Linked DNA regions of Oryzias latipes. Each later gene encodes a partner of the first gene's protein in a complex. Links are inferred from orthologs where the notes say so. Each region holds a gene or a part of one and is shown in the gene's direction. Other genes may lie near its edges. The genes, in order: keap1, nfe2l2 and fbxl17.

What was found.
Region 2: the proteins of keap1 (region 1) and nfe2l2 are in contact, whole or in part, in a crystal structure (PDB 3WN7), measured with the Mus musculus proteins. The link is inferred for Oryzias latipes from reciprocal best matches to the Homo sapiens genes KEAP1 and NFE2L2. Residues at the interface, in NP_001103775.1 of Mus musculus: Tyr334, Ser363, Gly364, Arg380, Asn382, Pro384, Asp385, Gly386, Asn387, Asn414, Arg415, Ser431, Gly433, Cys434, His436, Ile461, Phe478, Gly480, Arg483, Ser508, Gly509, Tyr525, Gln530, Ser555, Ala556, Tyr572, Phe577, Ser602, Gly603; in NP_035032.1 of Mus musculus: Leu19, Ile22, Leu23, Arg25, Gln26, Asp27, Ile28, Asp29, Leu30, Gly31, Val32, Val36, Phe37, Phe39.
Region 3: the proteins of keap1 (region 1) and fbxl17 are in contact, whole or in part, in a crystal structure (PDB 6W66), measured with the Homo sapiens proteins. The link is inferred for Oryzias latipes from reciprocal best matches to the Homo sapiens genes KEAP1 and FBXL17. Residues at the interface, in NP_036421.2 of Homo sapiens: His59, Thr60, Ala63, Ile66, Met67, Glu69, Leu70, Gln75, Leu76, Gln82, Lys84, Ala90, His96, Val98, Ala101, Ser102, Ser103, Ser104, Pro105, Val106, Lys108, Ala109, Met110, Thr112, Asn113, Gly114, Val122, Ser124, Glu126, Gln163; in NP_001156787.2 of Homo sapiens: Asp395, Arg397, Arg421, Lys423, Asn447, Gln473, Tyr475, Met524, Arg548, Asn572, Cys574, Leu575, Trp577, Glu596, Tyr598, Val600, Ser601, Asp623, Trp626, Lys628, Tyr647, Met651, Arg652, Val676, Leu677, Asp679, Cys680, Thr683, Leu684, Arg686.

Annotation. Positions count from the first base shown.
Region 1 is NC_019859.2:10,405,221-10,414,783, forward strand, and holds the end of keap1 (kelch-like ECH-associated protein 1), read left to right. Parts: coding exon 1-292; intron 293-570; coding exon 571-816; intron 817-1,565; coding exon 1,566-2,242; intron 2,243-4,285; coding exon 4,286-4,491; intron 4,492-5,364; coding exon 5,365-5,541; intron 5,542-5,708; coding exon 5,709-5,962; 3' UTR 5,963-7,456; downstream 7,457-9,563. UniProt on the Homo sapiens protein: Substrate-specific adapter of a BCR (BTB-CUL3-RBX1) E3 ubiquitin ligase complex that regulates the response to oxidative stress by targeting NFE2L2/NRF2 for ubiquitination.
Region 2 is NC_019879.2:22,679,822-22,689,988, reverse strand, and holds the start of nfe2l2 (nuclear factor erythroid 2-related factor 2), read left to right. Parts: upstream 1-4,711; 5' UTR 4,712-4,880; coding exon 4,881-4,907; intron 4,908-7,641; coding exon 7,642-7,908; intron 7,909-7,990; coding exon 7,991-8,083; intron 8,084-8,164; coding exon 8,165-8,344; intron 8,345-9,106; coding exon 9,107-10,167.
Region 3 is NC_019867.2:7,786,378-7,796,718, forward strand, and holds the start of fbxl17 (F-box/LRR-repeat protein 17), read left to right. Parts: upstream 1-4,706; 5' UTR 4,707-4,903; intron 4,904-4,910; exon of another isoform or gene 4,911-5,019; intron 5,020-6,314; 5' UTR 6,315-6,334; coding exon 6,335-6,817; intron 6,818-7,119; coding exon 7,120-7,485; intron 7,486-8,051; coding exon 8,052-8,174; intron 8,175-8,341; coding exon 8,342-8,599; intron 8,600-8,787; coding exon 8,788-8,919; intron 8,920-10,341. Other genes in the region: thioredoxin-like protein AAED1, read right to left, coding at 1-94, 167-301, 396-501, 2,115-2,168, 2,259-2,327, 2,506-2,688. UniProt on the Homo sapiens protein: Substrate-recognition component of the SCF(FBXL17) E3 ubiquitin ligase complex, a key component of a quality control pathway required to ensure functional dimerization of BTB domain-containing proteins (dimerization quality control, DQC).

The DNA of each region.
Region 1 (9,563 bases):
GACAGAATGCAAAGCGCTGGTGACGCCCTCCACGCGCAACGGTCACCGCGTCTTCAGCTACACGCTGGAGAGCCACACCTCGGCCGCCTTCGCCATCATGAACGAGCTGCGGTTGGAGCGGCAGCTATGCGACGTCACGCTGCGGGTGCGCTACAAAGACCTGGACGAAGTGGACTTTGTGGCGCACAAGGTGGTCCTGGCCTCCTCCTCGCCCGTTTTCCGAGCCATGTTCACCAACGGGCTGAAGGAGTGCGGGATTGAGCTGGTTCCCATCGAAGGGATTCACCCCAAGGTCAGTGGCATTTGCTTAGAATTCATCATTTTAAGGGGTTTATTTCCATGTCACGCCTTGGAATAACAGTTTACGTTTTGTGGTGCAGTGAAGTGGATGTAAACAGGATAGATGTCAAAGAGAAGATGCCCAACTGCTTTAATATGGAGGGACTGCTCTGTCTCCAGAGGATTTCAGTTTAACTCGTTTCCAATCTAAATGTTTAACTCCCTTTTGAAGATGTAACTGTTAGTTTCTATGTTAAGGAATGAAAAAGTTCTCAAACAACTCCTTCTCAGGTTATGGAGCGACTGATTGAGTTTGCCTACACTGCCAGCATCTCCGTGGGAGAGAAGTGCGTCATCCATGTGATGAACGGCGCCGTCATGTACCAGATAGACAGCGTGGTCAAGGCCTGCTGCGACTTCCTCGTCCAGCAGCTCGACCCCAGCAACGCCATCGGCATCGCCAACTTTGCCGAGCAGATCGGTTGCACAGAGCTCCACCAGAAAGCCAGGGAGTACATCTACATGAACTTCAGCCAAGTAAGGCAGTGTCACAGAGCAAAGATAACTTTTATGTAATCTTGCTTGTATTTTTCCACTGACTTGCCACCAATCAGAAAAAGTGGGGAATTTGAAGTGGTTTTGGAAGTGAAACCTGTTTCACATCTTCCATTGTGGTTCTTGGTGGGTGCTTTTCCCGCTGCAGTGGGCCATGACCCATGGCGAGCTTTATTTTGTCATGGTTGGAGCATACGTGGTGGCAAAATATGACTGTACGTCAGAGTTAATTGATCTTTGACAAGATGAGCAAGCAAATTCATGTCGAGTTGAAAGTCTTGTTGCACAAATATTTGTCATTGAGAGCTTTTATCATTTTGTTTTTGTTTTTTAATTAAAAAACGTGTTTGAAAGTGTAAAAGGTTCTTTTATTCTTTCTCAATGTCAGGAAATAGCTGTAAAAGTCTATGGTTACTTCTGTTCAGTCAGAGTATTGTTTTTGCAAAAGTTTTTAAAAGTGAAAATGGGTACATGATAGAACCTGCTGAGTCAGTTTGTTCAGGAAGTCAACTGTAATCTGTTTCCAGGTAAACACTGAAATATTTTTTCATGTAAATGCCTATTAAGATGAAAATAACTGTTTTTTTTTTTGTTTTGTTTTTTTAGTAGTTTTTACAGAATATGTTTTAAAACCGTTTTGCTCAGGTCATCTACTTGTTTAAAAAAACTTGTTTTTATGATTTTCATTTGTGGAAAGAAGGTAATTGAGCTGTATTTTTTTTTTCTTCCAGGTAGCGACCCAGGAGGAGTTTTTCAACTTGTCTCAGTGCCAGCTGGTCACCCTCATCAGCCGCGACGAGCTCAACGTGCGGTGCGAGTCTGAAGTCTTCCAGGCGTGCGTGGCCTGGGTGCGCTACGATCACGAAAACCGTAGACCCTACGTCCAAGCCTTACTCCAGGCTGTGCGCTGCCATTCCCTGACCCCCAACTTCCTGCAGACCCAGCTCCAGTCCTTAGACTGGGACCCACAATGCAAAGACTACTTGGCTCAGATTTTCCAGGAGCTCACCCTCCACAAACCCACCAAAGTAAACCCCTGCCGAACACCCAAGGTGCCTCAGCTCATCTACACGGCAGGGGGGTATTTCCGTCAGTCCCTCAGCTATCTGGAGGCGTACAACCCCTGTACAGGAGCATGGCTGAGGCTAAGTGACCTCCAGGTGCCCCGCAGTGGTTTGGCCGCATGTGTGATCAGCGGCCTTTTCTACGCCGTCGGCGGTAGAAACAACGCGCCCGACGGCAACATGGATTCCAACGCTTTGGACTGCTACAACCCCATGAACAATTGCTGGTGTCCGTGCGCGCCCATGAGCGTCCCCAGGAACCGGATCGGGGTGGGCGTCATCGACGGCATGATTTATGCGGTCGGCGGTTCCCACGGCTGCATTCATCACAACAGTGTGGAGCGGTAAGTCTAAGGAGACGGTTCATCAAACTCACTCGTGATCAGGACGTTCTGCTCCACAGCTTTTAAGCCTGTTGATGTGAGAGGATTTGAACCTCTGTATGTTGGTTGCTCTGCGGTCTGTTGACGTCCAGACAGCTGTGTTTGTACTACAGACATGTGGTTTATTTAGTTGACTGTATGAAGCTGGATTTGCCACAAACAAAGTGTCTGGTAACTTCTTAAAAATGTTGCATATTCTTGTCTTATCAACAGGTTGACTCTTGTAAAAATCTACAAATTTATGCCAGAAAATTGAAGGTCAACTTCTATATTCTAAATTCCTTTTGGTTTCATAAATATTTACTGTGGTTTAGATTTGGGGAACAATCTTTAACTGGTTCAACTGGCTTGTTTTACATTCAGTTAAATAAATGATCTCCTTTTTTTTTCTTTCTTTTTTTAACTAAAAGAAATAACATTAAAGCGTGACCTTAGTTCTAAAACTGCAATTATTAACTAAGCTAGCCAAAGTTACGCTGAAAGAGGAACAAACCAAACCTGTCTACATGGTCAGGTGATGACGTCAGGGAAGCTTAGTTCTACAGCAACAGAAGTGCAAACTAGATGTTGAGAAAAGAAACGTCTGCTACTTGGTTACAGTCATTCATTTAACCAGGTGCTGCATTCTATCAACAGCAAAAAGCAGAACAAACTTCCTTTGATTCAAGGACTCGCCAGTCTGCCAGCTTGAAGAAAAACGAAGAGAAAAAATGCTAAAAATGTTCTGTTAATGTTTGCTTGTTTGACAACTTATTTTTTAAAGTGAAAGATTTAACAGGGATGTGAGAATATTACACAAGAATTATAACTCGCCCTTAAAGTGAGTCCTTGTATTTTAAAGAAAATGTGTAGAAGTAGCTGTGATTGTGTTTGTTTATCAGCATAGTCATCTATATGAACCTGCTGACTGGGATGTGGCAGTTTGATCATTACACCCTCTCTTCCTAGCTTATCACATTAGCAAACTTCCCCTTTTAAAATGGTTCATATAATTTAATCCAGCATTAATGTGGAGTAATTCTTCAAATCAAGTGTCATATTTTTAAGAAAAATCCTTTAAGATGCACTCCAATCATCTTTTGTTCTATTTTCAAACCGTTCCCTGTGGTCTATTACTTATGATTATGATGTTTTCAATCAAATAAACTATAGTTTTCTATGACATAGTATCTGCAGAGCGGCAGTAGTTCATCTAAAAATTCCCCTCTGAGGCTGTCGGCGTGTAGCAACCTCTCCTCTGTTTATACACATTCCCGCTAGCTTACAGCCAAAAGCTGCACGATGTGAGGAAAACTCTGAGCATTATTAGTGATCAGAATTGCGATGCATGAACAAATAGCAAAACAACCAAAAACAGAATTTCCATTTCACTGCAACAGTTTCATTTAAATAAGAGTCAACATAACTTAAATTGTACTCTAAATGACCCTAGTCTACATAGGAGGCGAACATCTAAAATAACAGGGCTCCATCTGATTGGTCAATGATGGAAAGGAGTCCATCTGATTGGTCAAATGCATAAAGAGATTTATTTGATTCGTTAAATAAGATTGTTCCAGCAAATTAAAGTTAACCATTTACTGCAATTTTCGCTGACTTTTGCAATATGCGAATTGCACAGCTTGATATCGTGACGACAAATGTTTGATTTATTGTGCAGGCCTATTACACCCCCAATCTATCATTGCAACAAAAATTACTAGCAATATCGGAGCTACCCAGCTGTACAGTTTTGAGTCAGATGCCAGCTCAGACGGGGAAAATGAAGACGTACGTTGATCTATTTGTCTGCAAGTGGAAGCACCAGAATGAAGCGGAGCATGAGGCTTGTTATCCACCGACTGTAGCGTTTTTCATCTGCTCCTGATTCACAATAATTTGAAAAAAGAAAAACTCAGAAATGCTATTTTATATATGTCCTCCATCATGAGAAAAATACATATTAGAAACACTAAAAATTTTCACCTTAGTGGGTCTTTCATGATAATTATCTGATCTCCACAGGTACGACCCAGAGAGGGACCAGTGGCAGCTGGTGGCCCCCATGTTAACGCGACGGATCGGCGTGGGCGTCACCGTCATGAACAGGCTCCTTTACGCCGTGGGGGGGTTCGATGGAGCAAACCGGCTGAGCTCCTGTGAGTGCTACAACCCTGACAGGGATGAGTGGAGAACCATGGCCTCCATGAACACTGTGCGGTCCGGAGCCGGTAAGGAAGAAACCACAAAATCAGAGGAAAATGTTAGAACATCCACAGAATCAGCGATGTTACTCATTTCATTCACAAACAGGCTGCTTGTAAAAGAAGGGTCCTGCTGAAGCAGTGTGTGGTTTTACAGTTCCTTTCTTCTTTCACCTTTTCTTTTTTTTTTAAGATGTTCTGTCCCTTCTAGGAAGACGTCTGCAAACATTAATTCAAATAGGTGTCGTCCTTCATGCTAGTGTTAAGGTTTCTTATAACCGTAGCAGGCTTGACCCTCCTTTACTTTTAGAAGCTCGTGCATGTGCTTCTGATGGACTGATTACATTGCATCTGAATATGTGCAGATTATGCCGCTACTGTTCAGTGCTGGGCAGTCCAAACCTGCTGCTGCTGCTGATCGCCGGGGTCGGCTGTGTTTTACCAACACACAGCTGCAGGGAAAGGACTGGAGCTGAACAGTTTAGTTTGTACTTTTACACATGTGACAAAGACTAATACTTCAATACTTCTTCAATTTTTGTAGGAAAAAGAGCCTTTCAGACGTTGGGGTTTGTTTTTTGTCAAAAACATGTACTTTGTTTTTATATTTAGCTATATTTATGCTGCTTATTTAATCTATCAGATAAAAATGCTAAGAAAGTCGCACACCTGAACCATTGAGATTAATGTGAAACGGCCCGTCATTGACATAAAGACTAACTTAAGATATCTTCAAGAATAAACTGTACTCGTTTATCTAAAAAAGCAGTCATAACAGAGACATTTCTCTGAGAAACGAGTTGGTATTTCACTGTTTGGGTGTAAAAGAACATGTGCTGCGTTCAAACTTTCCATCCACAAAGTCAGCAGAAAAGTTGAGTGACCTTTGTCCCGTTTCAGGCGTGTGCGCTCTGGACACCCACATCTACGTGTTGGGAGGGTATGACGGAACCAACCAGCTGAACACGGTGGAGCGCTACGACGTGGAGACGGACGCCTGGAGCTTTGTCGCCTCCATGAGGCACAGGCGCAGTGCTTTGGGGGTCACTGCGTTATGTGGACGCATCTTCGTCTTAGGTGAGTCAATTTTCCCCAAGCTGTCACACATTTAACAAAAAGATGTTTAACTTTGAAAACTTATGATGGGAAGAGCAATTTTTGAACCGTTTATATTCTCACGGACAAAAACAAAAATTCGAATGGATTTTATTGTAAACCATACATTTTGAACATTGCCCTTGCAGGAGGTTATGACGGCAGCACTTTCCTGGACAGCGTGGAGTGCTATGACCCAAAAGAGGACACCTGGATGGAGGTCACTCACATGACATCAGGGCGGAGTGGCGTGGGCGTGGCCGTTACCATGGAGCCCTGCCCAAAGGGTCTCTCGAAAAGCCAGAAGTGTGAAAATGACCCGTCGGCGGATCCATCTGCTGGCTGCGATAGGCCACACTGTCAGTTCTCGAATGGACCCTTCGGAAAAGACGCCTCATTCTGAGCCGCGGTTCCGATCACGAGAACCCTAAAAATAGAATGAAAACACAGACGGATGAGGACACAAATCCTGACTGATTGTAGAGAGGAAAATGAAACGCACATAGAAAAAGTCATTAGTATTATCAGTGCAGCGATGATTCTGGTTTTAACTAAAGCCATCTGCACTGAATTCTGTAAACCAAGTATGATCCGCACAAGTCCATTTTTCCAATTGTGATTCATTAGTCTATGGTTGAAGATGATGGAGCTCTGCGCATCTGTTCTCTCTGCTGTGGAAAAACTGCAAACTGAGGTTCCTGTAGGCTCAAAGAGTCGTTTTCACGAGATGGAAGAGAGAACCACCTCCTTATGGGAACAGAACATGGTCCTTTTCATAGGTAGACGAGTCTAAAGTGCCATTGTAGAGCCTGCGGGCCATTCCCCTATCAGTATAGTGTCGAGACACTCCCCAGGTTTGGTCCAGTTCATCCAGTTGTTGAAGACAAAGCTCCACACAAGACCATTTTTGTAAATATTTCTATCAGAAAAAGTAGATTTTCCTTCAAGTCCCTAAATTTTCATGAATCTTTGTATGATTAGGTAGTAGAAGACGTGACAACTTTTAGGGTCTCCATGTTGAACATCAAGTTCAAACAACCATTTTTTTCCTTTCTGTTCTGCTCAATTAATGCAAAAACCTCTGGAAATAAGCGAAATGGTCACAATTAATAACAATGTTAGAACTTTGAGGTCACCAGTACCAACATCCTTTATGAAGAGAAGACAAATAAGGAAATCTCTGTGAAGTGACCATTTAGAGGTTTTCCACAGTAAGCCGGTTTTTCTTTTTTGTTCAGAAGAAATGGTTTATGTCCCCAGGAAGAAGAAAAAAATAGTCAACATTTACATTTTGAACGGAGCCCATTGTCTTATATTGAGTGTCAAAGACAGAATAGGTTAGCATCACCTTAGCAGCAAACATGTTGAGTAAAACTGCAGAAGAATTTTAGAAAGGAACAGTTTAGTGGTGTGCAGATCCCAAAAAAAACAAAAAGTTTAGGTTGCAGTTGAAGCAAACTGCCATCAGCATCCCACCGATTGTGTTTGTGTGAACAAAATGACACAACCTGGAGTCATTTTGGTTTCAACGTCTTAGAGACCTTAGAAAATGTAGAAGTGAGCATGGTTGTGCGTTAGTGTTCAAATATTGTATACTAATGACAAAACCTTGCTGAAATGAGTGTATTTGTAACAGCAATTAAAGCTACAAACATGTTTTTAAAGACAGATGTTGTACATTCATTCATAATCTGAAAAGTCTTGTACAGAATTCCAGAGTTCATTCTTTAATTTATTTGTTGAGACGCGGTGATTTTCCAGTGGCTTTAAACTGACATCTGCTTTGTAACTACACACTCCTTGTGTAGCCTTTTCTAATAACTAGTTTGCATTGTGACTAAGTGGAAATCCTGTTGATGCTAATTTCTGATGTTTGATTAAAAAAAAAAAAACTTCACTCTGAGTTTTTTTCTGTCTTTAGTTGGAATTAAAATGGAAAAAAAGTCTTTCTCAATGTTTTTTTTCCTACAAATGACTGTAATTGTATTTATTTCAAAATGTGTATATTTGATGCAATACCATCATTAACCCTTGTGCCATCTTAGATGACCCCACCCTTGCATTGACATGTTCTTCCTACCATGATAAAGGTGGAAAGATTTCATGTAATCCATGATCACAAATCATTGAAGAAAACAGGTTCAGTGCACTGTCTAGTGGGTCTAGATGACCCAAATCCCAACGTTAAAGTGCCTAGGATGGCCCAAGGGTTACGTTTGTTGATGACACCACAGTGGTGGGGCTTATCTCTGGAAATGAGTCTGCTTACTGGGACGAGGTGGAGCGGCTTTGTGTCTGGTGTGGAAAAAACAATCTGATTCTCAACACAACAAAGACAGAGGAACTGGTGGTGGACTACAGGAGGAACAAAACAGACATTCAGCCACTGCAAGTGTCCTACCGTTGCTCAATAGAGAATATTTTAACATACTGTGTCTGTGCCTGGTTTGCCAGTAGCACAGCTGCGGCTAGGAAAGCTCTCCAGAGAGTCACCATGAGAGGCCACAGGATCATCAGCTGCCCTCTTCCTGTCCCTGGAAGAACTGTACAATTCCCGCTGCCTAAAAAAGGCTCGGAACATTCTGCAGGATCCATCACACCCTGAACGTTCTCTGTTCAAACTGCTGCCTTCGGGCAGAAGATACACGGCAATTAACCCTTGTGCTATCTTAGATGACCCCACCCTTAACCCTTGTGCTATCCTAGGCACTTTACCATTGGTAGTTGGGTCATCTAGACCCACTGGACAGTGCGCTGAACCTTTTTTCTTCAATGATTTGTGATCTTCACTGGTGTCCATGGATTACATGAAATCTGTCCATCTTTATCCACCTTTGTCATGGTAGGGAGAACACATCAATGTAAGGGTGGGGTCATCTAAGATAGCACAAGGGATATGTGTGTGTGTGTGTATGTATATATTTATGTGTCTGTGTGTGTGTGTGTGTGTACGTATACATGTCACAACCTGTAGTGACCGACAGATGGCGCTAGAATTTCATCAATTTAGTGTTGTGACTTCTGCAGCCTTCAGCATTTTTCAATAAGTTCACCACCTGAAAATGGTTTGGATGTTTGCTCCAACTTTTTTGGAATTCTGTAGCTTGGTGTCACGGCTGCAGTAAATGCAGACGGTTATTTTCTCAATCCAAGCAACAGTTGATAAATATTTTCTTTTCTTAACTCCCCCTGCAAATGGTGAAACTTTTCTTTATGGTGAGTCTCATAGTGGTGCTGACTGTTGTAGTGTTTGAGCACCTTTTGATAAGATACCAAGCATGCAGGTCTTGCATTCAACTCTGTGAACAAATAAAAATCTTTCCATTTCTCCTGAAAAGCTCAGCCCTCCACTTCAACCTTTTTTGTTTGTTTTTGACAACATCTTGGTCATTAGGGTGTCACTATTGATCATTCTTATAGCAATGTAACAGCAGTGAGGCTCACGCGGAACCAAACTTCTGTACATCTTACTCAGACAGAGCTGTTAGGTTTCGCATTTGGCACATGCAAAGATATGCTGTTTAACCTGTTTTGCCTTTCCTTAGCTCCCCCTAGTGGCGGATTTGCACATTTCGGTTATTTCTTTGAAAAGAAAATCACAACTCGCCCCAGGAATGGACTAGAAACGTGTTTTTTTTATCCTTTTAATTTTTACTCTTCATGACTGGGCCAGATTGAACCGTCTGGCGGGCATACAGCCCGTGGGCCGTATGTTTGACACCCCTGGTACAGAAATTAAAGGACCTGTTCTGGCAACTTCCTGAAAAAGAAAAATGAAGCAAAAACATGAAAGTTTTCTTTGAAAACTTCATCCTCCAATAAAATCTTAATCTTTTACGGATTACTGCCTTTGGTATTTCAATTAAAAATAGAATTCATTACAAACATTTAATTGATAATGACTTCATTTGAGTAACATTTTAATATCCTTTTTTTAAGTATGAGCATCAGTGTTTTAATAAAAATAATAATAAAAACTGTTCAATCGTGGATCTGAATGGCTT
Region 2 (10,167 bases), on another chromosome or scaffold:
GTTTGTGAAAGGAAGATCCATGGGAGCCTGTCAGAGGTCAACTCAATGATGCGTTCTTAACTGTAGGAAATATTAACTTCGAATCGCAAAGTGTTCTAAACGGTTGACAAACTTTCAATACGGTCTCAGAAAAGCGGTGTAGCTTTAACTTTGTAACGATACAATAGAACTTGGACTAAAAGATAACATTTGGTAAAACTAAAACCACATATTCTAAATGATTTACCTATAAGAGTTTATATTTATGGGACTTATACTTGATCTCTCATTCTTTTTACTTGCTACAAATTATCTGGATAGTTTTGAGAGCAACTTGGTGGCAAGTATGAGGAAATTCTGTTCTGCCTGTAATTAAGCATATTACTATAGTTAAAACGTTACATTTATCCTTGTTCTCAACCAAAATGATCGTTACCCTCGACATGTTTTCATCACAGTAAATTTAAAGATGAGTCCACGAATGCATCATTTCATACGTTTCCCGGCATGCATTGCAGCAAAAGACAGGCAGCTTTTTCCCCAATCACTTTGGATTGAAAAATTATTTCTTAATGTTTTGGGCTTTTCGTTGACTATGTGTTTATTATTTCATAATAGAAAACATAGTAAACGATGGTGCAAGGGTTACTTTAACTGTAAACAATTGACAGTTCTGGAGTGCTGCAAGATGATGGAAAAAAATGTACTAATGAATAATTAACTATTTGTATTAAAAAAAATCTAAAAACGACTAGATTTGTTCATGTGACTAAAAAAACCAAATCACTTGAAAGAGTATGAAATGCTGTTTACCTTTCTGCCTCACTCACCTCCTCTTAATCACCTGACCAGCATGACTAGAGTTTCCATATGGCACAGCACTGCTCTACAATGACTCTTTTAAAATCATTTCATGGCATTGTAAATGGGCAACAGTAGTGTAGAACACAAAGAGACCGCAGGGGCAAATTAAAACAATAATAATAACAAAATTGTGACACATTTATAAAAGAAACTTTATTAAGACAGCATTTATAATATTCCGAACAAATGTCTGTATTGTCCTGAGAATTGAATTGTCCAGATGTCAAGATTTTTCTCCCACTGGTTATAAAATATTAACTCCCAAAACAAAGTTCTGTAATGCACTGACTGCAAGCAGTTAAGAGTCTGAGTGTATCACAGAACTTTATTTGGAAAGCCACAGTGCCACCTCACAGGTCTGTCCTTCTATGGGACCTCATGTACGTATTCCTTCATCCTGCAACCACCACAAAAAAAAGAACAGGACATACAGGAAGACAATTTTAACAATAAACTGATTTTTCTACTGTGAAAATACAACACAGAATTGCAGATTTTTCTTTTTAAAATGTGATGGAACAAGATGTTAAGTCCTAACGAAGAGAGTTTGGGATAACATCAAACACATACAGCAGGACAGGTGTCGTCTTTTTATTTTACACCATTGAACACATTTATAGGGAACATCGCAAATGTTATTTCCAGCTATTTGACTGGGTAGAAAAATCTCCCTAGAAATTGAATGGCATTATTTTACATGAAGTCTGGCCATCTGCTTGGTTGCAAAATGTACATAATTTCCCCCCCTTCAATTTAGAAGTCTAAAGTTTATAGTTTTTTGTGTTTTTTTGTATCTTTATAAGGATTATTAAGGGAGTTATCAGTTCAACCTGTTGATCTTCAACAACGTTCTCAACTGAACAGGCCCTTCAGAAGAAGCTTTTTTTGTGTGTGGAAACATTAAGCAAGAAAAATGCAAATTTAAAAAAAGCCAGCTGAATCCAGCAACTTGCAACAGTTTGAAGATCGTTGACATGGCACTGTATCAGCAATCTACTGAAGTAACAACGCAAAAGTATGTGAAGAAACAAAAAGTTAACTGGTTATTGTAGTACAATCCTGAAAAAAGGAAGCAATTTAAACGTAGACTAAAGGTGAGGCGATTCCTGCGAGTCATACTGTACCTGATGAAGGTAGCCGCAAGGGACCAGCTGCAATCCAACACGAGGGGCAAAGACTAGATCAAAACGCAAAAAAACACAACTATAAGCGAACAGAGGACGGTGCAAAGATTCAAAGTGCAAAAGTCTATTTTCAGTGAGGTTGGTGTCCGTCTGCGAAGTTGCAGCCCTGAAGTGTTAGGGTTTTACCTTTTCTTCCCCCAGTGCTGTGCAGTTCACTATATGCAGCTGGAAGAATGTCGACGTGGAGCTGCCAAACGTGAACGCGTGTTCATGAGCGCGCACAGGGGGAGAAAAAAACTGCCTTTTTTCTGTGTGTGTAATTTCACGCAGAGGCACAGTGAGCTAAAGTTTTTCACACACATGTGCTAGAGACAGGACCACGTATCTTTCACTGAAAGGACACTCTTCATGATTCACTTTAATGCGCAGAAGAGTCAAACTCGATCAAGTGTTAATGAGAAAGATTACAGTGAGATTATGTTTGCCAGCAGTCTTCTGTCAAGCCATTCCACGGTTACGAAAACAAATAACGTTTGATAGACAGGATTAAAAAAGGAGCAAAAACTGACAACAAAAAACTATATTAATAAAAACACAACGTGCAAATGTGAAATGCTTGTTATTTTCCTAAAGTTTGGTTGCTTATGTCTTTTAAACAGTAATGCAAAAATATCCAGTATATCTTAAAATTATTTTAGTTTGCATTTACTTTAAATCAAACAACTTATTTATTCAGTCAAAATAACTCAAACTTTGTGATAATACTGTAGCTTTATTAATATGCAAAGCAGAAAGCAGTATATTACCAAAAAAAATTATTCATAAAAAATATGAACAACATAATTTCTGTGAAAAAAGTATATTTATTATACACAAGGCATGCTAAAAAAAAAGGTTTTGTGTATCCACATGTGAAGGGAAGCTGTGGAAAAGAATCAGTTTACACTAAAAACAATGTCCAAATATAAAGGAGTTTAAGATGACATATGGAAATTTTGTTGATAGATATGTATAAAACATGAATCAACTGTGATAAATCTGTAGATATTCATGAATATAAATTTGAATTGTGTGGGGGTGCATATTAATGTGTTGAGGGGAAAAGATTTTAAAGGAACCAAATGAGTGTTTATTCATGAAAAATGTGTTGAATGCATCCATGTATGTATACTGATCTGTAGTAATGTGAGTGTTTATGGGTATCTGATCCTGGATGTGTTGCCATCAGAGATGGAAACAGATATACTGTAATAGATAATGGGTGCACTGGGTGTAGTAATAAATTTGGTCTAAAATTTTGAGGATTTTACTTCTTCTCACTCTCTTCAGGATATTTCTTGTATTTTTTTAACTAGTCCTATCTTTACTTAAGAATGAAATCAAATATTATCATTATCACTCTCGTTAGAGAGTCCTTGATTGTTCATCTCATTAGAAAATTCAAAATGAGCCCACACTGGGCTGCAAAACTGCTCCTTATTACTTCCAGTGAACTATCATTCAGCTTCATAAAAAGAAAAAAACAACAACAACACAGGTACTTAGTATTTTTGCCCACAATTTAGGTGCTGTGCTGACCCAAATTAAGTAATACACCATAGTCACTTATCATTAGTAGTTTAATAAATTAAATACTTTCAAAAGGACTTCATGCAATTTATGTACCGTAGTTATTATACCCTCCACTTTTGTTTTTTTCAGGCAAACGTTTTGCTCCATTTTACTAACAACTTAGGGTTCCATTTGACCATTTTTAGACACTTCTAAACAACTTTTAGCTAAAATCACATAATTTTTCCAAAACATCAAAAGTACTTTACTTTATACCTGTACATGCTGGTGTTTTGTCCTCTGAGCCCATTTTGGATGAATTTTAACCCGTGTTTATATATATGGATTGTAGATCTACCAGTATTGGAAATATCATAAGAATTGTGTTTGTCTTTATTTTTATTGGTACAATGCGCACAGAGTGCAAAAACAGACCATGTCTTTGTCACAAGAACTGGCTATCTCCATCACATTAGTACCAGGTTCATGCAGAGTTCACGCTGATTTGATAATAAATAAGACTAAAGTTCAATTTTCAATCTAAATGGCCTACATTAGGATATTTTTGGTTTAAGTCAATATTGACTTCAAACATATTGTGAATGTTTATAGTTTTGACAGTATTGGAGGGTCATAATAATCTTACATACTATCTAAATCAAAAGTTTGTTTTGACGTTTCTCTGTAAACTTTATTTTAAGAGGTAACACAATTTGTGAAGAAAAAATAGTGAAAATCCTGTTTGAGTTAACTCCCTATCGTGAATAAAAAGTATTTGGACAAAATATTTTACCTTTCTTGGTCATTCTATGACATTTTACATTGTAATACAGTCATGGGGATATGAGGGTTGAAGAACCTTTAGTCCAATGACATAACATAAAGTGACCAGAAGGGGCCGCTATACACTAAACAAAACTTGAAGCAGTTATATCTATATGACGCAAGTCGGTGACTTTTATGAGTTTATTGAATAGTTGATTTGAATAAAAGTTATCTTATTAAATCCCAGCGGTAGTTATTTCTTTCATAGATCATAACTTTTACATGATAACCACTGATATGTTGTGCAACAGTTATCTCTACCATTGTAAAACTGCTGCATCTGAGCCCAGTTGGCCCAACGCGCATGCTCACTGAGTGCTTCCCTTCATTCTCATAGGCCGTCGTGAGTGGGCCGACCCCAGCGGGCGGGCCACCAGCTCCCTAACGTTTACCAGCCTTGGCTGAGGCAATATTTCCCGAAAGTCCGGTGCCGCTGTGACGGGCCCCTTGTGGCGTTTGGTTGCTCATCATTTTATCTAAAAAAATTTGGATTATCACTACTATTTCTCCGTCTTTGGGCGTTTAAGCTGCGGGACAATGATGGAGATGGGAGATTCCAACCAGGTAAACATAAATATACATTTTATTTTTATTAGAGATCGGACAATTATAGTTTCACAGTAATCTTTAAAGAAATTTGGACTTCGCGCTGTGTTTCATATATATTCAGTTTCTATAACAGGCTTTTATTGCGAAAACAAAAATGTTGTGAGGATGTTTTGCGTCAACCTGTCTCTTAAGCTAGCTACTCACTCAGCTGATGGCTCTGGATATTTAAGATTATTTTCTGAAAGTTGTCAGTCTTTCACATTCATTGACTTACAAAACTCAGATCTTGTTATTGTAATGCATGATTCTATAACATGTAGCCTTTTTTTCTCTCAAAGTTGGGTGAAGTTTTGTATAAACAGATTGGAATCTTGCTTCCTTATGACTGGCCCTCCAACGCCATCCCATAACTAGAACTACTAGCATGTGATTCCGTGTCTAATGCAGTGAAGTCTTTTATAACCAATGTGAAACTGTTAGAGTAGCGATTTGCTTGTATCTTCCTTAAAACATAACATTAGCATCTGCTTTCGCTCTTCCCCTTTTTGGTGTCACATGATATAGAACCACAGCTTGAGGTCGCTCGTGTTTTTTTCATGTAAATATAAATTAAGCTAATAATATCAAGGAATTGAGGTTAGCTTAATTTTTTGTTGTTGCTGTGTTTGGTTTAACGTTCCCCCGAAATGACTAAGTTTAGCTATGTTTTAGGTTCTTCAAAAGTTGTGTCGTTACTGTCTGTCTGGTTTTCCATACAAATACAAATTAAGCTAATAATAATCAATATAGGAATTAAGTTAGTTTACGTAATATCCGCTGCTTTTGGTTCAACGCCCCCCTGAAAGACTCATTCAGCCATGTTTTAAGTTTTGTAAAAGCTGTGTGTCGTCATTGCCAGAACATAATGTTATAAGTTTGTGTAATATAAACACAAGTTCCCTTTTACTCGACTTTGTTTACATTAAAGTAGGCATACATTGCAGGAGTTATCAATGATTTCGGTTGGTCTTGGTACATTCCGTTTCTATTTTAGAAGTAGTACATGATGGTTGTGTTGGTTTAGCTGCTCACCGCCTGCGTATTATCTGGGAAATTTGAGAATGTTCCCGTGTTAAGCTTCCTTGTTCACGTGCCAGTCAGACTGTGGTGAATCAAGGTCACGGTGTCGGAAGAAAAAAACAAAACAAAACAAAGAAATGCACACACCAACTGTTTGTCTGCTTAATCTATACCATCTAAAGATTTTTAAGATGTTATTATATGTAGTCCTTCTGAATCTACAGTTGGTTTTTGGAAAAATGAATTGTGTTGAACGCTTGATTGTATTTTTACATTGTATTTATTGGATTTTTAAGAAAGCTGTCAAACTGGTTTCAGAATGTGCTTCTTTTCTAGTCGTTTTTTTTTTCCCTTTTCTTTAATTCAGGTGTGGTCACAACAGTGTTAGGGGGTCTGCAGCATTTTAGGGAACTTCCTCATTCCTATAGCCACCATAATTCCTGGTTTTGGGCTTCTACACTCTTTGCCATGATTTATGCTCACCAGCCTTAGTAATGAGTAATGCTTTAATGGTCCAGCTTCTGATGCAACACTCAAGCACAGACTTAGTGGGTTCTTATTTTGCTTTGCCGCTGTCTCAAAGTCTGTGTCAACAGTGACCAAAATATTTTCCCGTTTGTTAATGATTATTTATGCTGCATGTCTTTTCTTTTAGGTAAAAAAAAGAGAATTGTTGATATTGTTCAGTGCAGTTTCACAGCCTGTTAGTGGATTGTTTTAATGTCTGCTTTTTGTTCCTTTTTTCTAGTTTTTTTTGGTTGTTTCAGTCTGCGAAAACCACAAAACAGAATATTATAAAGCTCATATGCTACTTTCATAGGAATTTGGGGGAGAAAAAAAAAGTCATATGGTCTGGTGGTTTTTTTCTGTGGAAGAGTATCTTGGGTTTATGCAATATCCTGAGGCCTTATGAAATAGTTTTCTTCTGTAAATAAATTATGGTGAAAAAAAATCCCTAAGAGCGTAGCATAATTTGTCTTTAAGAGTGTTGTTTGAAAGTTAAGTAACATTTGAGTCTGTGAGAGCAATTTGAAAGGAAATGGTTAGAAAACATTTTCATGCTTATTTCTATGTAAACCCAGAATTCAAAATGGACTTTTGTTTTGCAAACTTGTCCAGAGATTACCGTAGCTGTCCACAGACATGGATGGAACAAAGTTTATATCATGTCTAACGTTCAACCCTTACACTCCTGCAATGTTTACCCTAAACTTTATGAAGTTATTTGTGTAACATTTTTTCTTTCCAGATCATGCTATACATGTACGATCACTCATTCTTATTCTTATCTTATAAAGGCTACCAAATAAAAGCACTTGAGGCTAGTTTACCAGAGTGAAATTTAATCTGATCATTGAGACCTTACCTGACTGTCCGGGAGATTAAACGAGACAAAAGAATTCACACTTTGGAGTAATGAGATGGGTATACGTGTCAAATTGGGATTCTGCTTGTGTGTGGCGGCAACAAGGGAAACAGAGAAGCATGTTTATTATTCATAGCCATTCTCCCTCGTGACATTAACTCCAGTGTTGCTGTGAGCGAACAGATACGGAGGGGACAGGGTGTGGCAGGTGCAAAAGCCATGTTTCACAGCAGGGACAATAATTCTCCTTTCAGCACTAAGCGTATTCTCTCTGCAGGAGTGCACAATGGCTTCCAACTCTTTTGTTTGCGGTTGTTTTTTCAGGACCTGGACTTGATTGACATACTTTGGAAGCAGGACATCGACCTCGGTGCCAGGCGAGAGGTTTTCGACTACAACCATCGGCAGAAGGAGCACGAGCTGCAGCGGCAGCGCCAGTTGGAGGAAGAAAAGAAGCTGCATTTGCTGCGGGAGCAAGAGAAGGCCCTGCTGGCGCAGCTGAAGCTAGATGAAGAGACTGGAGAGTACATACCTCACACAAAACCCATCCTCCCTCCGCAGCAGGCTGTCGTATCCATCGAAATTTCTCAGGTACAGGCACATTGTAATATTATTTGTGTCAGAGGTGGGCCACTCCCTCTTCATTCAATGGGCTCTGCTTGGATGATTGCAGGATGCTAACTTCACTGAGGAGACTGGAGATGGCATGTCATTTGACGAATGTTTGCAACTGCTGGCAGAGACATTTCCTGTAGGGGAAACTGAGGTAAGAGTTTCATCTCTAATTGCCACAAATTCACAGCCTATGGTATGACTTCTGGTTTACAAATGTATGTTTGCCGCGCAGAATCCTTCAGTTTGCATGGAGCTGCCTCCTGTCTCGGTGTACCCCAGTGGCACCATGATGCCCTCTGAACAGCCGGCCCTGTCCCCCGCTGTCCTCCCAAACCCGCTGACTCCTCCACAAAGAGTTACCCCCGATCTGGAGGAGGCCTGGATGGAGATTCTGTCCCTCCCAGAGCTTCAGGTATAATTCCCATTTTTGTTTGGAACAAATATTCAAATGAACAAAAGGAGGCTTGGGCTAAATTATTTGTGAGAGATGCAAATAAATAGAAAATGTCTCTGCTCATTTTCTTACAGAATATTTTTATTGCTTTGGCAGTTGAAAGCATTAAAAACATTACACGTTCACAGTTTGGTGCTGTGACCTTAAAGTTGCAGAACTGGTAGGCGTGTAGTTCGGGGAAGGTGCGGCACTAATGATGCTTATGCTAACTGGGTAAAAGGTGTAGACATTTTTTTTTTGTCTCTTTCCGGTAGCTACACCTCATATTTGCATTAGCCAAAGGGCGGAGTTTAGTCGTGTTACTTGCCTAGTCCTGTCCCTCTGTGCACTAGATTACAATGATAACCATGAGGCTTAACATGATTGGGCAAGCTGCTAAAACTAGCTCAGAAGCAAAAAATGGATGTTTGGAATTGTTGTACGAAAGGTTCAAAAAGCATGGAAACTATGTTCCCATGTTTTAGGATTATCCATTTACATCATTAGGTGTGAACTAGCTCCATATGTGCTATTGGTACAACACCACTCAAATGGAGCAGCTCTTGATTTCAAGCCTGGGCTTCTCTGATTTAGAACCAATTTCTGCCAATAGATGTTTAGATTTTAATGCTGTCTACCTACATAATTCTAAAACCATTTAAAATTAATGAGCCTTATGGAAACTGTGCCCTTATTATTTTTTTCTCCCCCTAAACTTTGTGTCTTTTTATCTTCCAACAGTGTTTCAAAATGCAAGTGGATGAAACAATGGAGGCCACAAATTTTCCGATTCAGACCAGTCCTCAAGTGCAGAATCCAAGTTACCCAAACAACCAGTTGTTCCCAAATACTCCTTACTACCCTATGCCCAGTGCCTCAGATTTAAAAACAAAAAATTTAAATGTTGGTCCCGGAGAATTCATGAATACTTGTGATGGCCCTGTTCCCAGTATGGCTCCATCTGACATCAGCCAGATAAATGTGGAAGACCCTCAGGTGAATCCAAACTTTACCCCAGACAGCTTTTGTTCCAGTGTCTTTTATCCTGACACCATCGTGGAAGAGAGCAGCAGTCAGCATGGCCACGAGGAAAGTGAAAATGTGTCCGAGATACCAAGCAAGCCCTCGTTTACGCCCATGGACCTGTACACCCTTTCACCTGAAGATGTGTTTGACAGAAGCAAACGGCTGCCAGCAGATTTCCCAGATTCAGATTCAGGAATTTCGACTCACTCCAGTCCTTATTCCAGCTCCCCCAGCAAATCTGCTTATGGAGGGGGCTCCTATAATTTTAGTGATTCCGAAATGGACGACCTGGACCACAACCCCGGCAGTGCTGAGTCTGACTACTCGGAGATGTTCAGCTTGAATTTCCAACCCGAGGATCTTGAACTAGCAAAACCAGAGTCGGAACAGACTGGGCAGTGCAAGCAGCTCGACAAGAAACCAAAGCAACATATGGAAGATCCGGCTGAAGAGAGTGGTCACAGCGGCACACCGTTCACCAAAGACAAACCAAAGAAACGCTCCGATGTGCGTCTCTCTCGAGATGAGCAGAGGGCGAAGGCCCTTAAAATCCCCTTCACAGTCAGCATGATCATCAACCTGCCCGTCGATGACTTTAACGAGATGATGTCAAAGCACGAGCTGAACGAGGCCCAGCTGGCCCTGGTCCGCGACATTCGTCGCCGTGGCAAGAACAAGGTAGCCGCTCAAAACTGCCGCAAACGCAAGATGGAGAACATAGTGGGTCTGGAGCATGAACTGGACTTGCTAAAGGAAGAAAAAGAGCGTCTGCTGGA
Region 3 (10,341 bases), on another chromosome or scaffold:
ACAGTTTCTCCAACTTCAGCAAGCTGAAGGAGCCAATTGATGGGAATGTGATCCAAACGGTTCATATCAAAGTGACAAAAGTGAACTTGGGAACCTGAAAGGAAAAATAAAATATGATTAGAGAGAAATATTAGACCTGGAGCCTTAAAGAATTGAGATGACTCACCCGGTCCTACAATGAGAGCCCCCCCTTGCTGATACATGTCACCCTGAAAGTCAAAAGCAGGGCTGGTCATTGCCCTCCATATGCTCTTCAGCTGTCCCATTAACAAACCGGACTTCACATGAGGGCTGGGGTTTGCTGAATAGTCAAATAAACAAATGTTTAAAAGATTTAGTTTATTAGGCTATAAGAAAAAAAAAAATCCACTGTTACACACATGCACACACATTACCAGACTCTGTGAACGTCTCTTCTCTCTTCATACCAAGCTTTTGATAAATGCACCTTTCTGGATCTACATACATTTCATAAGAATACCCAGTCAGCAAACAGAACGGCTAGATGAAGGACAAAACAAACAAACAAACAAACAAACATGGATTTTACCAACATGTCACATGGTTGATGCTTATTTCAATATTAAATTGGCAAGAAAGAAAACAACAGTATGCACATGGTTCAAGGGAAATGATAAAGTTTTGTCACCTTAACTGTTGTGGTTTACATTGTTCAGCTCCTCTTGTGTCTCATCTAAGCATCAAACTTAGTGCTTTCTGCTTATTCAGATAAGATAAAAAAGGTGATAAACTGCATGTTTCATCGTATCCTTGTTTTCTGTTAGTATTGATATGATTGAAAGAATAACTTTGCATTACAATGACAACAATCAATTTTGCCTAGAGCAAGGGTAGAATCGTCAGAGAGCAGAGAAGAAACTGCTTCAGGTCATACCAGCTACTGTAAACAGGATGAACTGGTAAGGCTTTTTGTGACTCATCTGCTTCTTATTGATTTGATTAACTGAGTGTTTTTTCTTTTGGCTCCCGGTGCCATCTGATCACACAAACCTGAAAGGTGTTTGAACATGCCCAGTGAGGATGTGGTAGGGAGGAGAATTTGAATGTAAAAATTTAGAAAGTGAAAGAGCAAAACAAATGTTACCAGGTATGTTCAGTTAGTCTGCTTGTGTGATCTAAGACAGTGGTCCCCAACCCCCAGGGTCCCCAACGAATCATCTCCATGAGTTTAGGGGGCAAAACAACACACTCATGCCAACGGTGAAATGTAATTTCAGTGGTGTCAGTCCGTGGGTCACTTGGTACCAGGCTGCAGGGAGAAAAATAAATACATACGCCAACTTTGATTCTTTGTGGCTGTTTATTTTCTGATACTGACGGAAGTTTTATTTTGGAAAAGCACCGGATTCTGTTCACCACATCCGTCTGTCTTGACGCGTCATGTGATTTTAAGCAGCTTATTGGACAGCTAAGTTAGTAGTCCCAAAGCTAAAAGGCTGATAGAAACCAAACAATTAAACGTATTTGGAAAGTTTCTTCGAGGAGAAAAGTGTCAGTGAGGAACCAGAATAACGGTCTTCGGCTTCAAAGAAAAATAAAGCTGCTGTTAACAGACAAAACCAGGAGCTTTCCTCCAAATACAGATTTATTGAGACAGTCCAAGTTTAAACCAGCCGCAAACATTTGACAGAGAATTAATATTCAATCAAATAAAGTTGCTGATTTGTAAAAACAAAAAATGAATAATATTTTTGCCCTGAAAGATGATTGAAAACTTGGTTCAGGTATCTGTGTTATAAAAGTATTCTTTGATTTTTTTTTAACAAATCAGATGCAAGAATATATTTTTTTAAAAAGTAGCAGAGCAAGAATGGTTATTCTGACAAATATGACATAGTAACAGCTGTTCATTTATTAATAGAAGTCTGGGAGTTTGGCTTCTTGGAGCCAGTGCGAACTTCCTGTTTGGAACGCCAGGGGGGAGGGACCACTCAATCCAGGTCTCTTATACAGTCAATGTTACTGACACGTTTCTGACAATAAGTTTGTTTCAAAAAACATTTTTTTTTGTTTTATTCCGACAATATAATGTGGATTAATGCGTTGTTTAAATAAACACTTCATAAAATGTTTGCATGATAATACAACTTTACCTCTATGTGGTGATGGGAGGACTGACCAATCACAACCAATTTGACTGCAGCATCCTAGAAAGACATCAACAATGTAGTAATACCTTTGAATATATTTATTTAAGGATCGTAAAGTGGTTTAAAAATGGCAGCTCTGGGACTCACCTCCAGGGCTTTTTGGGGTATTTTACTTAAATCTTCTACATACTCCTTGCAGCTGTAGCATAAGAAGTTCTGCAGGAATACATGACATTAAAAAAGCAGGACTCCAAGGTTTCAATAAGGTTTTTTTTTTCTCCAGTCCTGGATAAGAAGTTCTGAGCATCGTTAGGTTTTCTAATCTAATTCATGTCCAGCCTGCCTGAAAGAGTTTTTCACAAAATAAGAAAGAACAGCAACAGTTTTTTCCTACCCGAACAAAAACGATGATAACTTTCCTGTCTTGATATAAGGACTTGAACGGAATGGAGACTCCGTGTCGGTCGTAGATCAAGCAGTCTTGCGCCTCTTGCAGATCTACAGGCGGGTTTTCAGTTTTTTTCCTGTGGCTGTCTTTGGTTATTTGTCGGGTTACTGGTGGAACAGTTGCAGCCATTTTTTTCCTTCTTGCTTCCCGACACTGCGTGTTATTCTGTGAGTTGCCGTTCAGGCTGGAAAAGCTGCAGCCAGACTGCACGTTTCCGCCCATAACTCTGCGTGCACGCGCACACAGACGCACTGAAAAATATGCGCTTTTAGTGCACAGAAGCGATTGATTATCATTCTGTTAACACTGTTTAAAATCTCCTTTGTGTTGTAAACCTTTTAAATAAAATGATCTTATCTCTTGTTCAACTTGTTAACAGAAATTTATTTTTGTTCACCAATATTAAAATGCATATGGTAACTGTTTATCATTTATTTATTTTATTTGTTTTTGCTTTTTTACATTAGTTTAGTTGGCATACATTTAACCAAATGTAACAAAGAAAGGTTTTCTCAGACTGTATGATGAACTATAAATATTCATTATTATTAGGTTAAAAGAAGTCTACAGTAAAGCTATTATTTAATTAAACTAAGATTCAAAATAGATACCCAAATGATTGATTTTTTTTCATTTTCCTACATACAATTATACAAGCTTTGTATTTTTGTTTTAAATTGCAGAAATGTGTTTGAAAATATGTGTTGTTTAGTTTCTCTGAACACACAAATCCTGGGGAAACTGGGGTACAAATGATGTCTTGCAGGACTTTAACAGAATGCTTTCACAGTATAACACTTGTAAAGTAATACATCATAAAAAAACGTGTTTTTTACAAGTAGAGCAAAAAGTGTATGACACACAAAATACAACAATTTCATTTTAGAAAAACAACAGAGATCAGGAAATCAACAGATGTTATTCGTTTCTGGCCACTTTTGGGCAAAGGCAGGGGACATCCTGGACAGGTTGGCAGTCTGTCGCAGGGTCACAGATCACACACCCATACACACAAACAATGACACCTATGGACAATTTAGAGTAACCAGTTAACCTATGAAGCACAGAAAGGTCCCCATTGGTGTTGTGTTTCAGGTCCCACAGCCAGGACTAAAACTGGGGGCCTTCTTGCTGTGAGGCAAGAGCGCTAACCACTGCACCACCGTGCAGCCCTGTAATGCCTTCATTAAACCACATTTCTATTCCTGTTCTTATTTAAGCTATTTAATGTTTCACAATGGGAGTTGGTGGGGGGTTGAGGGCAATGCGTGTTTTATGTATACTTTAGTTATAGATTTTTGCATGAAGGTTTTGTTTCTATTTTTAAATATGAAATGTTTTTTTTCCCACTTGTTATAGTTTGTTGAGTTTGAAGAAGGTGTTTTTATGTTTCTCTTTCTGTATCACCATTTTGTTTGTCTTTTTTCTTCATATTTTTTTGTGTAAAAATGCTTTTTTCATCTGGCACAATTTAGAGTGGATATGTATGTTGTGTGTGGATAACAAAAGCACAATTTTGTATAACTGACATTTGTTAATCCTTGCTCATCTTTGGTTGTGTGTCATTTTTCTATTTACTTCTCTCATTTCTTTCTCCAGGTAAATGTTTTTCTGTTCTTTTATTTCTCCAACGATTTCTCTCTATACATATTCTTCACCATCGTTTAGCATCAAATTCTTTTTCTTAAGGTCTAGAGCCTAAAACAAAAGACATTTCTTCGAATATAAAAGAGGTTTATATTGACGTGCACCTTCCATGTAAACAACATGCATGAACCAGATTGTTAACTGTCCAACACAGAAGCAGCTGGACAGGAGTAATACAACAAAAATACATCTTTATTTGGTTGGTTCCTTTTTGGTATCTTCAGGATGATTTTTTGCATCCTATGAAATTTTTATTGTATCCGATTAAATCCCGGTCTCTCACATTTTATATTTACTTTGTGTATTCAAAGTCCAATTTGCATACTCTCTGCGTGATATTTTTCTTGAAACAATAAAATTACTCCCAGGATTAAACGAGTAATAAATACAAATCTACAGGTGATGGAAAAATGTCACCCTCTTAATCATCTGATCATCAGTCGTCTGGGATTCTTCTACCTGTTATTAAGCAAGTTTGCTGTCGAAATTGTCCTCGCCGGCTTCTGTAGCTCTGCCCCCCTTCGCTGCGGAAGTGTTGTGCTCAAGTGCAGCAGAGCCAAGCTGCTGGAGTCTGAACAGACGCTTCGGCGGTTGTGTGTTTGCGGCCGCCTTTCTCCGTGTCAGCGCTCACCGCTACCGTCAACCCGCGCAGTATTATGTGAAGAGCGTCCGGACGGAGGGAGCAGCGTGTCAAGTGGTGAGAGCTGCTCCATGTTGGAGGAGAACAGCTAGCTTAGCATCTGTCTGATGATGGAGGAGCAGGTTAGCCTCTCAGAGGGCTCCTAGCTGTTGTCTCCAAAGGAGTTTGAAACTGTGAGCGGATATTTATCATTTTGCAAAGTGTGGGATAAGCGTTTGGCTGCTTTGTTTGTGTGTGGTAAAACCCGACCACCTGTTCAGTGTCTACATCTTTGTGTTTGCAGCAGTCGAGAGCAGCAGATGCATGGATGGAGCTCTCGTTGTTTACAGATTCGACAAGGAGGACGAGCAGTTTAGGCATTAAAACCGATGGCCAATTTCTATCACATTAACTTTGACTCACAAAAGTTGCAGTCAATGTCAAAAGTTGAGAAAAACCTGATTGATAAGTCAATTAAGGATTTCCCTTTTCATTTTTGTTCATTGGAAGAACTTAGCAGTTTACAGGAAAAAAGCCGTTTATTTATGGAAACCTTAATCTTGTGTGTAATCAAACATTGTATGCAATATTTAGCTTTAATACACAGTAATAATAATAATAATAATAATAATAATAATAATAATAATAATAATAATAAATTGTCTTTCTTGAAACTCAAGGTCGCTTTAAATAAAATAGTGACATAGTTGAAAACAAACATCAAAGCAGCAATAAAATATACTCTTATAAAATTGGCCAAAGCAGTCATGTTATTATGGGCTGTGGTGAATAGATGGAGAGAAGCAATGTTTCAGAGGTAAGGGAGTGCTGTTTGTTTCACAGCCTTTTTAATTGGTGTTCTTCAGGCTTTGTACAACCACAGTCCAATTTTTAAAAACTGATTAAAAAAAACATTCATTTTATGTTAAAATAAAAAAAATTGTTTATAAAAGGAATTTCATTTGGAAAAGATCTTATTTCCAGAGTTTCTTTTATTTGATGTTTTCCACATTCATTCGTGGAAGATTCCCAGTAAAACCAAACTTTCTACGTGGCCTCTAATAAGCTCTAAAAAGTTGTATAATGTTTAATTCCATTTTTCTGTGATAGTTATACACAACCTGTAATTGTGAATGGAATGATTTACTACTCAGTTCTGTCACATGACTGGACCAATTAACCAAGCCTATATTTTAGCCTGAATGCAGAGTTCTTCTGGGTCAATCAGTTGGCTTGTCATTTATTTCCAGGTTACTGTCAACCTCTTTCTCAAGTTAAACATGAAATCCTCTGCTGACATAAATGTTAACTTAACTTTGCTTTTTTTATTGCCAATGTCAATATTTTTGAAGTAACCCTGAAAAGTTTTTGTCTAAAGATTCAAGAGGAATGATTAAACACTTTTAGTACTTAATTAACTCTTTTTTTTTTCTCTCATAAATGTTATTCAAATGTAAGATTCCCTTCTGTTTCTTTTTCTTTCTCCAAGAGTTACCTTGAATCTTCTATATGGGCCATCTTTTCTCGAAAAATGGTTTACGCCTGAAGAAGAGGACCCGCAAGTTGCAGCACAAGAAGAAGAAGAAGAGGAACTGTTTCCTGCAGGGCCCGTGCATGCTCTGTTTCCTCGTCCACAGCAATAGCAGTGGTCTGGACGACGACGGTGACCATCTGGAGGCCGGCGTGAACGGGTGTTGCCACAACACAATCACCGGAATCAGTGTCGCGCACATTGGGGGCGTCGGCCTCGGACCAGCAGCTGCCTCAAAACTCGCCGAGCGATACGCAACAATCGCCTCACCTGAGGAGTGCTCCAAGTACCTGTTGTCCCCAAGGGAGCTGGGGATCTGGGAGGGCCAGGGGAGGGGCATTTTATCCGCCGTTCCTGCCAAACTGATTCCAGCGCCGGCTCTTTTCCGAACGGCTGGTGTGTCTGTGACTGTGCCCGTTCCTGTGCCTATACCCAACTGCACCGTCGACTACACTGAGATGGTAGGCACTAACCTCACATTGAAAAGGTGCAGCAGGAATCTGTGGTGATGGGTCAAATTGTTTTGCTTCATGGTGCCTTCAGCTGGTTACTCTTGGAGGAGTAAATATTCATATTTTGATCATTTATTTAAAAGAGAGGTTTGTGTTTGGGCTTGAAAGAAGGCTGGTTAGATATAACTTTAGATGGTCAGAAGTGGAAGACATTTTCATCAGTGAATAAATAAGATAATCAGCTGAATGTGAGCCTGGTGTGTTTTGGTTGAAAAGCACACCTTTACATGATTGTGTGTTTCTGCCTGCAGGTGTGTAAGAGGAAGTGCTCCGAGGTGCACAGGTGCACCCCTTGCAAGCAGCCGCGCTGTGCCTTTGCCGCTCCTGACGGAGGGCTGGAGCACGACGGAACGGGAGGAGAAGAGGCTGGCTCCAACTCTGAAACTGGCCACTGCCACCTTCCACTATGCCCAGTTCCCTCCTCGTCCTCCTCTTCCTCTGCATCCGCCTCCTTGCCTGCTGATGGCTGCTGCGGGCTGGGCCTTCAAATGGACTCGCCCCACAGCTCAGACTCCTCCCCCTGCTGCCTGAATCACTATGACGACTCTCAGGCGAGAAGTTCTGATGCTGTTGATCACTTAAGTATCAACCACCTGCCTTCCTCCATCCTTCTCAAGGTCAGAAGGGCTTTAGTTCATCATTTTTTGTTCCCATTTACTTAAAGACCCAGTCCGATTAAAACGTGTTTTTTTTAGCATGTTCTTGTGGCCTTTATCTGATAATGGAAGGCATATGTAAAGAAAATGTAGCTCAAATTGCATTGTTGAGTATTTCTTTACTCAAATAGTTGTGAATCAGGAGAAGACGAAAAAATGCAGTTTGAAAGAGAACTTCTTTGTGACATCAAATACAACTGGCGGTCCACAAGCTCCCTCCTCCGCTCCATTCTGATGCATCCACTTGCAGACAAATAGATCCATATCTGTCATTGTTTTCCTAATCTGGCTCTAAACTCTACGGCTGGATAGCGTCAATAAAGTGGGAATACTTTAAAAATAGATCAAAAGATGATCAGAGTGGGACTTCAACTATGTCAACTAACTATGTCAATACAATGATATTTTTTGTGTTTTATGATAAATGCGCAATGAAATTAACAAGGATTTTCCCTGTTATAAACTGTTTTGTCAAACGAGCATTAGTTGTTAATCAGAAATGCCTCCTCCTCTTCCTCCCACCACAGGTGTTGTCCCACCTGACAGTGAAGGAACGCTGTCTTTGTGCCTCTCTGGTTTGCAAATACTGGAGGGACCTCTGCTTGGACTTTCAGTTCTGGAAGCAAATCGACCTCAGTGGCCTACAACAAGTAAGAGATGTCACGCTCTGAAGCTGGTCTTTGAATTTTGTAAAAATATTACTTCCTGCTGTTGTTTTTTTAGTTTCTGTGTATTTAAAAAAATTCAGTAATTCCATATGATATGAGTATGCCTGTAAAAACTATGCAAGATCTGATTTTTATGTCATTTGTTTCAGGTTAACGACGATCTCCTTGTGAAAATTGCTTCTCGAAGGCAGAATGTGACGGAGATCAACATCTCGGATTGCAGGGGGGTGCACGATCATGGTGTGTCCTCCTTGGCCTCACGCTGTCCAGGCCTGCAAAAGTACACAGCCTACAGGTGCAAGCAGCTGGGAGACATCTCCCTGTCCGCTTTGGCCTCACACTGCCCTCTCTTGGTCAAGGTGCATGTTGGAAACCAGGATAAACTGACAGATGCATCACTGAAGAAGGTATTTTTTTCAAGCTTCTCTAAGAATGTGTTACGACTGGCAACAGGAACATACTGATACGGCCCAGGGCCGTAACAAATGCAAAGAATATCTGGTTAACGTTTTTAATATCAGACAGACACAATTGATGGTTTCATTTACTTGTCTTTGCTTCCTTTAGTCATTAAATCCCCATTTCTTGCTTCTAGCTGGGAACACACTGCAGTGAATTGAGGGATATCCATTTAGGACAGTGCTACGGGATCACAGATGAGGGCATGGTGGCGTTGGTCAAAGGATGTCCAAAACTGCAGAGGCTCTACTTGCAGGAGAACAAAATGGTCAGTTATCCTCCTTTTCTTTCATAGTTTTGTACTTTTTTTGTTCTGTTGGAACCGTTTTACGTGACTCAAGTTTCTGGTCACTTGTTTTTTCATGTGTTCTCTCTACCTGAGCATAAAGTGATGGTGTGTAATTCACATTGGTCAAAAGAAAGAGTAGTGGACAGTGGTCCCTCATTTATTGCGGTAACATTCTAAAAACAACCCACAATAAGTTAAATCTTCTAAGAAGACATTTCATTTTTTTACAATAATCAAAAAGGTTTTAAGGCTGTAAAAGCCCACACTACACACTTTGTTCACTGAAAGCAAAAGGGAAACAAACAAAGAAAAAAAATAGAAGTTGAAAATACAAAAGAGCAGCTGTTACAAATACAATTATTTTCATTTGGTAATAGTTTTAGGTTTCAATTTTTTTAGTGTTTAATATGTTTATTTTATTTTACAAATATATTACACAAACCAGAAAAATAACAAAAAAACGGGAAAAAAAACGGGAAAAAAACACCCATATATACTCACATGAAAAGAAAAAGGAAAAAAGAAAGAGAACTTAGCCGTACAAACAGAAGGTACAACAAAATCAATCACCTGTGCATAAAACCAAAGTTAATCCTGAACCTTTGTAGGCTGCTGATTAAAGAAGTCCAGAAAAGGCCTCCATGTCTCAAGAAATTTTCTTTCTGAGCCTCTCACAGTATAACGATTTTTTTCTAATTTGAGATATGGTACAGCACTTCCCTAATCCAATGTGTCACTGTGGGTGGGGCAACATCCTTCCACTTCAAAAGAATTAGGCTTCGAGCCAGAAGGGTTGAAAAAACCATTAGTTCCTGACCCCTAGTAGGCAATTTTAGGGTTGTATTCCTGACTCCAAAAAGGAACTTTAGTTCCAAATACAGCTATCAATGTTTCACCAACTTTGCCCCAAAAAACTTGTATTTTGGGACATAACCAATACATATGAATGAGATCAGCCTCTCCAGTTTTCCATTTATCACATGTAGGTTTCAATTTTTTAAATCCAAGTTTCAAATGAAAATTCTTTTTCAAAATTTAAATATGTTCTTCAACTTAACACATTTCCTTCAAATTTTCAATATTTCTTTCAAATATACACCCCCCCCCGATTTTCAATATTTTCTTCAAATGTATGACCCTCCTCTAATTTTTATATATTTACTTAAAGTCAACAGAGTCTACTTTTAAACTTATTTTTTTAAATTGTTAATTGATTTCCTTTTTCAAATTTCTGCCTTTTTTCCCGTTGTGCTTAAATCTGGTTTTTCATTCCTTTCAAGCTAATCCTAATTTGACTGAATAGAAAATAGAAAAATAGAAAGATCAGATCATAATAGAAGATTTATGTAAATTTGGCAACCTGTTTGAATTCTCCAAAGAAGATGCTGTCCTGAAGACGCA